3 linked regions of the Caenorhabditis elegans genome follow. The protein of the gene in region 3 purifies or fractionates together with the protein of the main gene of each other region. This does not show direct contact. Each region holds a gene or a part of one and is shown on either strand. Other genes may lie near its edges. The genes, in order: mrpl-11, mog-2 and mrpl-54.

Region 1 (3,164 bases), on a different chromosome or scaffold from region 3:
CGAGAGTTTGTAGAGCTGGATTGCGGCTCGGCTGAAAATTGAATAATTTCAATATTTATATTTTTGTGGATTTGTCAATTGTTATAACGTTTTATGAAAGGTTTTAAATTTCTTTAATATTTTCTACATTTGGTTTTGGTAACCATTAAAAAATTTTGGAAATATTGAAATACTTACCTTCTCCTGGGAATACGACACGTCCAGCAAGTCTTGACATTTGTATTATTTTTCGGTGGTTGAGAGATCTGAAATTAAAATAAATAACTATTTCAAATTTGATAATTAAAAGCGGGGAGTGTACAGGAAGTTTGGAATCTATGATTTTTTGCGATGAATATTATTATTGGCAGGTAAATCTAGATTACGGTATTTTTCCTGTTAACAGCTCATATATCAGTCACTATCAGTTATCTTTGAATTTATCAAAAATTATTCAACTATGAAAATATATGAAAACGTTTCGTACGTAATATAAATTATAAATTGTTTTAAAATGCCAAAAATAAATTAGATAGAAGTTGTCAAAGTAGAGCCAAAGGACAGCAAAAGCAATGAAGAGGTACGGTAGCTTGGACTTTGAAGAAAGATTCTAGGTTAAGATTCTAGGAAAAAAAAACCATATTAGAAACAAATGTTCACCACTAAATAGTGAGTTGTCAATAGTGAATGAAAGCAGAAACATATAATCTTTGCCAGCATTGTAAACGCCACCTTTTTCAGCCAAAATCAATCGATACTACCTTATGATCACTTGGTACAGTGGGAAAGATGTTACCTTCTCATATGACGTCACATCTCCAGATATAAACTAGATTGATTTAGGGCTAGACGTACCAATTTGGGTAGAGGTAGGGGAAAGAGAAAACTATGCATTTTATAGAATATCTTGAATTTAATGAGTCTGAGCGTTTCGGAAATTATTTCCTATATCAACTGTATTAGAATTTCATATGTCGTTAGATATTATTTCAGGCAATGACAATTTTATTTAACCAGGAACCAATACTGTTAAAATAGATTTTAGAGACTTATTTAACTTAATTCATGTTTAAATCACCAAAAATGATATCATAGATATAAACCTACAACTTTTAGTAATTAAAAGTCAACTTGAACATAAATTTGACACAATTCCAAAATTTTAAAATTTGACGTTCCCGTTAGGGATGATTAAAAATCGTTGAAATCTATTTAAAGATTAAAATGAAACCAAATGATTTTAGCAGGCGTCTAGGGAAACCTTTCAATAGACTGGAAGTTGATAATATGTGAGGTAGTACGTTATATTGGACTATAAAATGAGGGAAAACCAATAATTTGATTTTTAAGAGGGTATATTTCATTTTAAAATAAAAGAGAACGAAGGGAATAGTCTAACGTGTTATAATCCAAACATTTTTCTTCTAAATGACATTGTAATATTATTTGAATTTTCAGATACTACAGCAATTTCCAGACTTGCAACTTTGCCGCGCTAAACAACACGCGCTACGACACTCCGCTCGCTCGCTTTTTTGTTTTTCACTGTTTTCAGCTGAATTATTTTTCTTTGAAGCGCGCTCGTCATCTTTTCTTCTTTTTTTTCTGAGTTTTCGTAAATATCAAATTAATTAATTTTAATATTCCTGCTGTTACATCTTTCTTAAAAAATCCCTCTGCTTGCCAAGACTATTTGTGAAATTTCAATTTTCAACGCCTTTTCAGAAAATGGCAAGCAAAGGTGCGGCCCGTGTCAGAAAGAAGGAGATTGTCAAAGTTGTTCATGGAGCGTTACTCAGAACCAATATTAAGTGAGTTTTAATTGGAATAAAAAAATACTTCAGCATATCTCAAAACTAATCCGAAAAGTTCAGTATTATTGTGTTTTCCACATAAATTTGCAAACCTATCTCTCAATTCCGAAGTCACAAAAAAAGTATAGTTAGTTTAAAAAAATTAATTTTTCAATAAAGAAGTAAAATAATAATGTAATTCCAGAGCACAAATGGCGTCGGCTGCTCCACCACTTGGACCACAACTTGGTCAACGTGGGCTCAATGTCGCGAATTTTTGCAAAGAGTTCAACAAAGAAACAGGCCATTTCAAACAAGGAGTCCCACTTCCCACACGAATCACTGTAAAGCCAGATAGAACATATGATTTGGAGATTTGTACACCGACGACGACATGGCTTTTGAAACAAGCCGCTGGTATTGGGAGAGGAAAAGCAAGTAAAGGTGAGAAGCATCTTATGTTCAAAGTTTGCAATTAAATCATTTTTTTCAGACGAAATCGTTGGAAAATTAACGGTAAAACATCTGTATGAAATCGCCAAAATCAAATCACGAGATAAAGCTTTACAACACGTCCCGCTTGAACAAATCTGTCGAATGCTGATAAAAACATGTAGAACATTGGGAATTGATGTACAATATCATGATTTGGATCCAGTCGAATTGAAAGAATTTTTAGTTGCCCGGAAAGAGAAAGTTGATGCTCAGTTGAAGGATTTGGCAGATAAAAAGGCGGCGAAGATGCTCCGAACCACTTAATAAATTTTGTTTGGTTATAGGAATATCCTCCTAGGATAGACGTTTTTTTCTAGTAATTTTTGTTGTTTTTGTTCGTTACAATAAATCTCATTTTTATTTTCTGGATTAATTTGATTACCAATCGTTTCCAGCGATTTTCACATATTTTTCCAGAATTTAATACAGATTAATATTTTCGAAAAATTTAAACATTTTCTTTTCACATTTTAATTCATCTCTATTCATTATGCAATACTCTTTTGGTTTTCAAGCATCCGACATTCCTCCGTTTCATTTATGTTTGCATTTCTGCTGGCATGAATGCATTTCATTGTGTCTCGATGAGAAAAAGGACAATTTCATGAGCTTATCAGTTACTTCGTTTTCAAAATTTTAATGTTGACCAGCCATTGATGTCATATTTTGTCTAAGAAGCTCAAGAACTATTATTTTTTGAAGCTTAATTTCGAAGAGCAACATTTTTTTTCATTAAAATTCAGCAGTCATTGTTCTTTAAAAAGTTTTGATTCTCGTTTTTAAACGATTTTTAATTCAGTCGAGAATTGAATAACTTCCCGATTTCCCGGCCACCATCGTTTAATACCTTTTCTTTATGAGACTAACTTCCAAGTATGCAAATTGCAAATCGACGCA
Region 2 (4,215 bases), on a different chromosome or scaffold from region 3:
TTTAATGGTAGAGAGCCAGTTTTTTTTTGGTTTTTTTTGCCAAAACTGACCAAAAAAAATTTTTATAATTGAAAAAAAAAGATTTTTCAAAATATTTTGCAAAAAAACTAGTGAAAGCCGATTTATTTTTGAATTTCTCACCGATTTTCTACATTTTTGTATTTTCCGGCTTTTTTTATCGGTTTTTCATTGTCACATTTTCAGTCATTTTTCAGCAAAAAAAGTTGAAAACTCTAAAATTAGCCAAAAATCGATAGTTTTTGTGAAAAAAAAAGTCTAAAATTATCGATTTTTAGGGTAATTTTAGAGTTTTAACGCATTTTTTTAAGGGTTTTGAAGTTTTTTTTTTGCGGAAAAATGACAAAAAAACACAAAAAATGGATTATTTTAGGCGAGAATTCAAAAAAAAATCCGCGTTTTTTCCAATTTTTAAACCTTTTTTTTCCAAATAGATATTTGAAGGCGCTGGGAAGTTCCCAGTGGGAACCTCTCAAAATTAATAAAATAATAAAAAATAGCCGGAAAACACAAAAATGGCTGAAAAAGGATTTTTTTCTAACTTTTTGTTGCAAAAATTTCAAAAAATCAAATATAAAAAGGCACGGGGAACCTTTGAAAAATCGATAAAAATATCAAAAATAATAGGGGAAATATTGTTTTATGGTATATAAAAATTACAAAAAAAGGGAAGACAGACTGGGAAAAAATTGGAAAAAAATGAGAATATAAATAAAACAAGGAGTATCATTTTAACATTAAAAAAATCAAATAAAATAAATAAATAAATTTTAGCAGCACATTCTGCAATTTTCAAGATTTTTCAAGACTCCATCGCTTCCCCATCGGCACCATTCTGATCCATCTGACGATTCCATCCCTTTTCCGGAACCTTTCCCGATGCCAGAATCGACTGAAGATAGTTGACTTCACTGAGTGACTTGGCATTCTTGATCGCTTCCTTGATCTTCTCCCGATCTTCATCAGTAAGCCGAGCACCTCCACCCGAACTATTCTCATTTGGTTCAATTTCTGATGGATCTTCTGTATGAACACTCTTCTGAATCGCATCTCTCGCCTTCTTTCCACTTTTTCCTTTGAACATCTTCTTCGCAGCTTCACGTTCTGTCAGTCTGACTCGATTGAAGTCAATCACTCGAACCGTCGGCAGCTTGTAGATCATATACATCCGATAATTGTCCTTGTGAGTTATCGGATTTCCGATAAATGTCACGTACTCGAGCTTCTTGCATTCTGCCAGTGGCTCAATGTCTCCGAGCTCGCAAATGTTGTTGTTGGTCAGTGCAAGAGTTTTGAGATTTGGAAGTTTTGTGGCAATGTCGGGTGCGATATAGCTGAAAATATGGGGTAAATTGGTGGGAATGGAGCTCGAAAATGTGGGAAAAAAGCAGTTTTGCAATGAAAAATGGAGGGTTTTTAATTTTTTTTCAGGAAATAGTAACCATAAAATTTAAATTTTTGAAGAATAAATTAGAGAAAGTATTTTAAAAATTTGAAAATGACCAAAATTTTAGGATATTTTCTGAAAAATCGATTTTTTCCCCTACTTTCCGAAAAAAACTTCGATTTTTCGAAAAATGGCTTAAAATTTTTCGAACTTTTTCAGGAAAAAAATTATATTTTTCCTATGTTCTTTCATAAAAAACTGATTTTTTCGTTTTTTTTTTTTGGAAAAAATAGCGAAATCCGGCTAAATCTGAATTTTTCGCCAACTTGCCGAAAAAAAAATTTGGAAATTTCATGAAATTTCAGAGCAAAGAAACGTTTTTTTTTCAATTTTTTAAATTCAATTTAGGGAAGTTTGTCAGAATTTTCCGGTTTAAAATTTTTTAAAACCCTATTTCAAGCTGAAATCACCGAATTCTGCCAGGAAACCCCATTTTTCGGTACTTTTCAGTCGAAAATAACCAAAGTTGGGTACAAATCGACTGGAAAAGCACTAAAACACGGATAAATTGGCAAAATTGGAATTTTTAGCTAAAATTTGGGCTTTTCCAGCAAAATATGGTGCAAAATTCTATATTTTTAGCTAAATTTAGCCACTTTTCGCTCGTTTTTCGGAAAACTACGCACTTGATTCGATTATTATGAAGATACAGCGTATTCAAACGAGAAAACGTCGGAAAATTGTCCAATTTCCTGATATCGTTGTCAGTCAGATCGATGACATCGAATTGATCCCTCGTCACTCCCATATTCTCGATTACGGGGATTTTTTGGCCGCGCAAGTTGATCTCCCGCATATTGACCGAATTGACGAATTGTGGACGCTCGGCGAACAGCTCAGTCGTGAGACGGACCATTTTTCGCTGGAATTAGGGGGTTTTCAATGTAAAAAATAACAAAAAAACATAGAAGATAGACAAAAAGTCGGCTGCAAACCGGTTAAACATCAAGAAAACTTGAAAAAAATATATATGAAAATTACAGAAAAAAAATACATTTTACATAATATATCACACGAAATATTTAACAGTTGGACTATATTTTACATGAGATCAAATTATTCCACAAAATAGTCTATTTAACCATGTTTTTCAGCATTATTCACGAAAAATCAGTGTAAAAATATAGAAAATCCCTCGATTTCTCTGAAATTACCATTTATTCCAGCTGAAACGTCCATTTTTGTTCATTTTCTCAACTGTTTCGGCTGAAATAAATGCTGTTTCTAGATAAATCTAATTTTCAATGAAAATATGCTGGAAAACATAATGAAATAGGTCATTTTGTAGAATTCCCATGGTCAAAAATTATAAAAAAGCCCACAGCGCAACGAAAATGAAGACAATTATAACGAATGGAAGGTATTGAGCGAGCATATCCGTGTTACGAACGAAGCTTCCTTTTGTCAGTGAATACCACGCCAAATTGATCATATTCCAGTCCTCGCGCTCATCGTAGCGCATTTTGTTGAGAGCCAGAGCCACGTGCGAGTGACAATTATCGCAGATGAGATTGTGCTGGAAATAAATGAAATATTGATCGGAAAAATCGATTAAAAACCGTACAGTTCTAGTTTTATACGTGTCGGAAGCATCTTGAACTGCTCTATCGAAGACTTCCGCGCCACCTTCCACCTTTTCCGGGCCTAATTGCCAGTATCTTGTGGGCCAGCCGAATCCCATGTCGTCTTCCTAAAAATATTCTACTTTTTGGAAGTAATAAATTGAATTTGGGCACAAACCGCCACATAATAGCTCCCAGCAAAGTCTCGAATGATTCCACGGCTATTCGCGATTCCCATGTGGCCGATGAATGGGAAAAACCAACTGAAACAGCATTTTTAGCTGGATTATTGGGATAAAATTAGATATTTCCTACGTCAGGCATGGAATCGGAGTCCAAACAATGCAGTATGGATACCGATTGTTTTCTGGGCAGATGTCACGGTCGGTGAGCGGCATCATTGACCTAGAAATGGAGATAGACACTGGTGAATTGGAAAAAAACGAGCAGATCAGGTGATTAAAACGTTTAAAATGTATGAAACAAAATTTCGTGATAATTTTAAGCCGAAAAATCAAAAAATCGCCTCAAAATTGAAGGAAAACAATCGAAAAACGCAAAATTCTGGAAAAAAATAAATCGAAAATTCAAATGTCCGCAAACACCGCGCGGCGAAACTGCACACAATGCGCAGTATTGTACGCGCAAAAAACTTGGAATAATAAGAAAATTTAATATTTATTCGGCAACTAAAAATAGGAAAATTCTAATTTAATTGGAATTTTTATGAACAAAAAAGCCAAAGCGGAAATTAAACCCTACCGTACTACCCATTCCTAAAGGCGCATAAGTCTTTATCAGGCAAAGATCGAAAGAGATGCTATCAAATTGCGGTATGAATGGACAATATGTGCAAAGTACAAGCCAAGACAAACTGAATAACAATGAAACTGAAAAGGAAACACCAAAGTTGAGATAGGTAAATGTTGAAGATCCCGAAGGTTTTTCATCCAGGCGGGAGCAAAAAGTCTCTTTTTCAAGTTCACTTCTGAATATCTGTTTTTTCCATCTTTTTACATTGAAAAATGAATTTGAATCAATAATGAAATAAAAATAATCTTCATCAATCAATTGGAAGTCATAAACGAAAAGAAATCAGGAAAGTTATTGTTTTTCAATTGTGCGTTGGACCTTCAAAGTGATGTTTCCTCGATTCTTGAAATCTCTTAAACCTCCCTGCAAAAAAAT
Region 3 (2,959 bases):
TCGGGAACTTTGGAAGATTCCGAAACTATCAAAGAAATTTGCGAAAAATCTGGTGAATTCACTGAAAAGATAGAAACAGTTTTAGAAGAAAAAACCGAGCTGAAAAGAGTTGTTCTGAGTGATGGTGAAGATAGTGATGAAGAAGCTGAAGAAGCTGAAGAAGAAGGTGATGATGAAGAAGAACCAGAGGAAGATGACATCGAGAGTGAGAATGATGAAGCTGAAACCGAAGGAGTAGAAGCTCCGGATCCAAATTTCGACGATGAAGACGATGAATTAGCTATCTTGAAACGTTTGCAACACCAAGAATACAAACAAAAAATCAAAAAGAGAACACTTTTTGATGATGAAGCTTCACTTTCCGGTGATGATGTTGGAAGTGATCTAGAAGATGAAGAAGGCATGGAAAACGTTTATGAAGCAGAAGAAGGAGATGCAGATGATGTTCCCGATAATGATACTATTCGGAGGCAGAATCATAAGTTGTTGCTGAAACAGGAAAACGATAAGGAACAAAGGTAATATATTTTCTCTATTTTTTTTACTTTGGCATGTAGAATCAAAAATTAATTTATAATTTTCCAGAGAGCTTGCAAAACTTCAAGACCGTCTACTTGCCGACGGAGATCTCGGTGGAGTTGAGACGAATCGTCAATTCCGTTTCAAGTTACGAGAAGAAGTTCAAATTCAAATGGGAGATGATGTAGATGGAAATGATGGTGATGGAGAAGATGATGAACCAGAAGAAGATGAACAAAAAAAGAAGGAACGAGCCGAAATGATCAAGTTCAAATATGAACATGTGAGTTGATAATAATTTCCCACAAAAAATGTTTTGAGCACAAAACATTGTTCGAAAAAAGGTAATTAAAAATTATTACTCCTTTTGATTTTGTTATATTCTAAATGAAATCCAAAAATATTAAAATTCTTTCAAATGTTATGCATAGTTTTTAAAAAAGTTATATGTTTCTTGAAGTTATTTTACATAATATTTTCAGGCGGAAGAATTGATGTTGCTCGATGAGCCGAAACAAGGCGATGATATGTTTGCTCGCGCCGGAAAGTTATTCAAGAAAACTGAAAAAACTGTAATCGAATTCTCCGAAGAAACAATGTTCAAACCGAGACTCAGCAAGCCATCTCTACTGTCAAAAACCACTCTTGCTGTCACATTTCAAGAAGTTCTGAATGGACCTGGAGGTGCAGCAAAACAGATGTATGTGCAAAGCTTTGAGAAGCCAACTCCTCTCTCAACTGGACATATAAGTTCACCGTCGTCTCGATTGAGCACAGGAAAACGATTGCTGAAATCGCCAGAATCGTCAGCATCTGCAAAACGTGTCAGATCTAGTAAACTTAGCTCTTTGGAATAATTTTTCTATTGCTTTTTTTTTGTGAATTACAGTTATTACCCCTCAAAACCTCTGACATATCTGTATTTTGTTCTCACTTATCTGTGGATTTTATTTCTCTATTTTATGACTGGTTGTGTTATTTTTAAACAAAAAGATCTTGTATTTTATAAGATTTTAAAATTGTTTTTAAAAGAAGTTTGAATACTTTTTCGTATCTAATGTGCATGTATTATGTCGATCAAGTGTGCCGGAGAAAAATTTCAATATATTTCTCGATGGAGCTAGCAAATTTTTATAATAACTTCAAAAAATTCTAGAATGTCACATTCTAAAATTGCAGTTTTTCTATTTATAGTAAAAACAATTATTCGAAAAGCAAATAAAGTAAATCTTTTAAAAAATTAATTAAAGTAAAATGGAGGCAGTTCATGGTTGAGCTTTTTTCCGCTTTTTTAAAGAAAAGTTCGACCCGAAAAATGAAATTATCACATTTAAAGATATTTTGCTTGTACATAGTTGAACGCAATATTATCTTGCTTTGAGTATGTGCGATTTCAAGAGTTCTAGTTTCAAAATTTCAGATGCTCCGTTCGACTCTTTCAACAGTCAGTCGAACTACATCACTGATACCTCGACGCTTATATGCTCCACCAAAAGCTGCAGCAGCTGCTGCAGGTGTAAAAGTCGACAAATCTTTCGTCGAAGAAGATGCTGTCAAATTGGCAACCCACGTATGCATCAATGCATACACACAAGGAGATGAGCCGGGACCGAAAATTCTTCCAGACTCGGAGTATCCTGAATGGCTGTTCAAATTGGATCTTCGAGCACCAAGAGATTTAGAAGATTTGGATGCCGAAAAGGATGGATGGTTGTACTGGAGAGCTCTAAGAAAAAGACAAGTCGAGCAAAATCAACGAATTCAGAAGTTGAAGACTAAGTTCCTACACTTGCAGAATAGTCCCAGTATGAAGAAGAATTAAGTTCCGGAGTATTTTCAATTGTTGACTTTATTTGTTTTTAAATTTTTAGCATCAATCTATTATCTAGTTTATAGAAATGAATTTATTTTTACTTTTACTTAAAAAATCGAACTTATATATGTAATGCCAAAATTTCACTTTCTTTTCTTCGCCAATTTTTTCTTCTGCTCCTCTTCATGGTTCTTCTGCGCACGATCCGCGAGCACACTGTCAAAAAACTTTTTTCGATCGGAAATTTCGGCCTCTCCCCAATTAGTAAAGTTTCCGTCTTCGAATTGTGTTGCATATGGATCGTTATGGTTGCTGGTTGAAGGCTGCATCTGAAAATTATGAAACTAGTGAAATTGAGAAAGTCCAAGAAAAGAAAAAGTTGCACATTTAGAAAAAACTTTTTTCTGCAAATATCCGTGTTTTCTCAACAAAAAATCTCAGAAGGAAATTTCGATTGACTTTTTTGTTACAGAATTCTTACAGTAACTTAAAGGTGCACACACAAAATGTTTTTAGAACGCGTGACGAGACCCTTGCTCTAAAATCTGTCACCCATGAAAGTCGTTGAAATTTGGAAATAAAACAAGTGATTATGTTTTTAAAAACAAAACTTAGATAACTAAAACC

Evidence for each region.
Region 1: the proteins of mrpl-54 (region 3) and mrpl-11 fractionate together in Caenorhabditis elegans (co-fractionation; one large-scale study listed by BioGRID). This does not show direct contact.
Region 2: the proteins of mrpl-54 (region 3) and mog-2 fractionate together in Caenorhabditis elegans (co-fractionation; one large-scale study listed by BioGRID). This does not show direct contact.

The regions. Positions count from the first base shown.
Region 1 is NC_003281.10:8,715,940-8,719,103, forward strand, and holds mrpl-11 (Large ribosomal subunit protein uL11m), read left to right. Parts: upstream 1-1,704; 5' UTR 1,705-1,707; coding exon 1,708-1,790; intron 1,791-1,977; coding exon 1,978-2,216; intron 2,217-2,265; coding exon 2,266-2,531; 3' UTR 2,532-2,628; downstream 2,629-3,164. Other genes in the region: B0303.14 (uncharacterized protein), read right to left, coding at 1-31, 178-217.
Region 2 is NC_003280.10:4,322,473-4,326,687, reverse strand, and holds mog-2 (putative U2 small nuclear ribonucleoprotein A'), read right to left. Parts: upstream 2,328-4,215; 5' UTR 2,322-2,327; coding exon 2,092-2,321; intron 1,353-2,091; coding exon 821-1,352; 3' UTR 646-820; downstream 1-645. Other genes in the region: H20J04.6 (Transmembrane protein 222), read right to left, coding at 2,772-2,981, 3,030-3,155, 3,206-3,290, 3,343-3,428; Y52E8A.1 (RNA helicase), read right to left, coding at 4,132-4,203. UniProt on the Caenorhabditis elegans protein: This protein is associated with sn-RNP U2. It helps the A' protein to bind stem loop IV of U2 snRNA. Required maternally for early embryonic development and zygotically for germline and somatic development. Has a role in the switch from mitosis to meiosis.
Region 3 is NC_003279.8:9,158,503-9,161,461, reverse strand, and holds mrpl-54 (Large ribosomal subunit protein mL54), read left to right. Parts: upstream 1-1,939; coding exon 1,940-2,341; downstream 2,342-2,959. Other genes in the region: clsp-1 (Claspin), read left to right, coding at 1-518, 586-802, 1,002-1,376; F25H5.10 (uncharacterized protein), read right to left, coding at 2,476-2,661.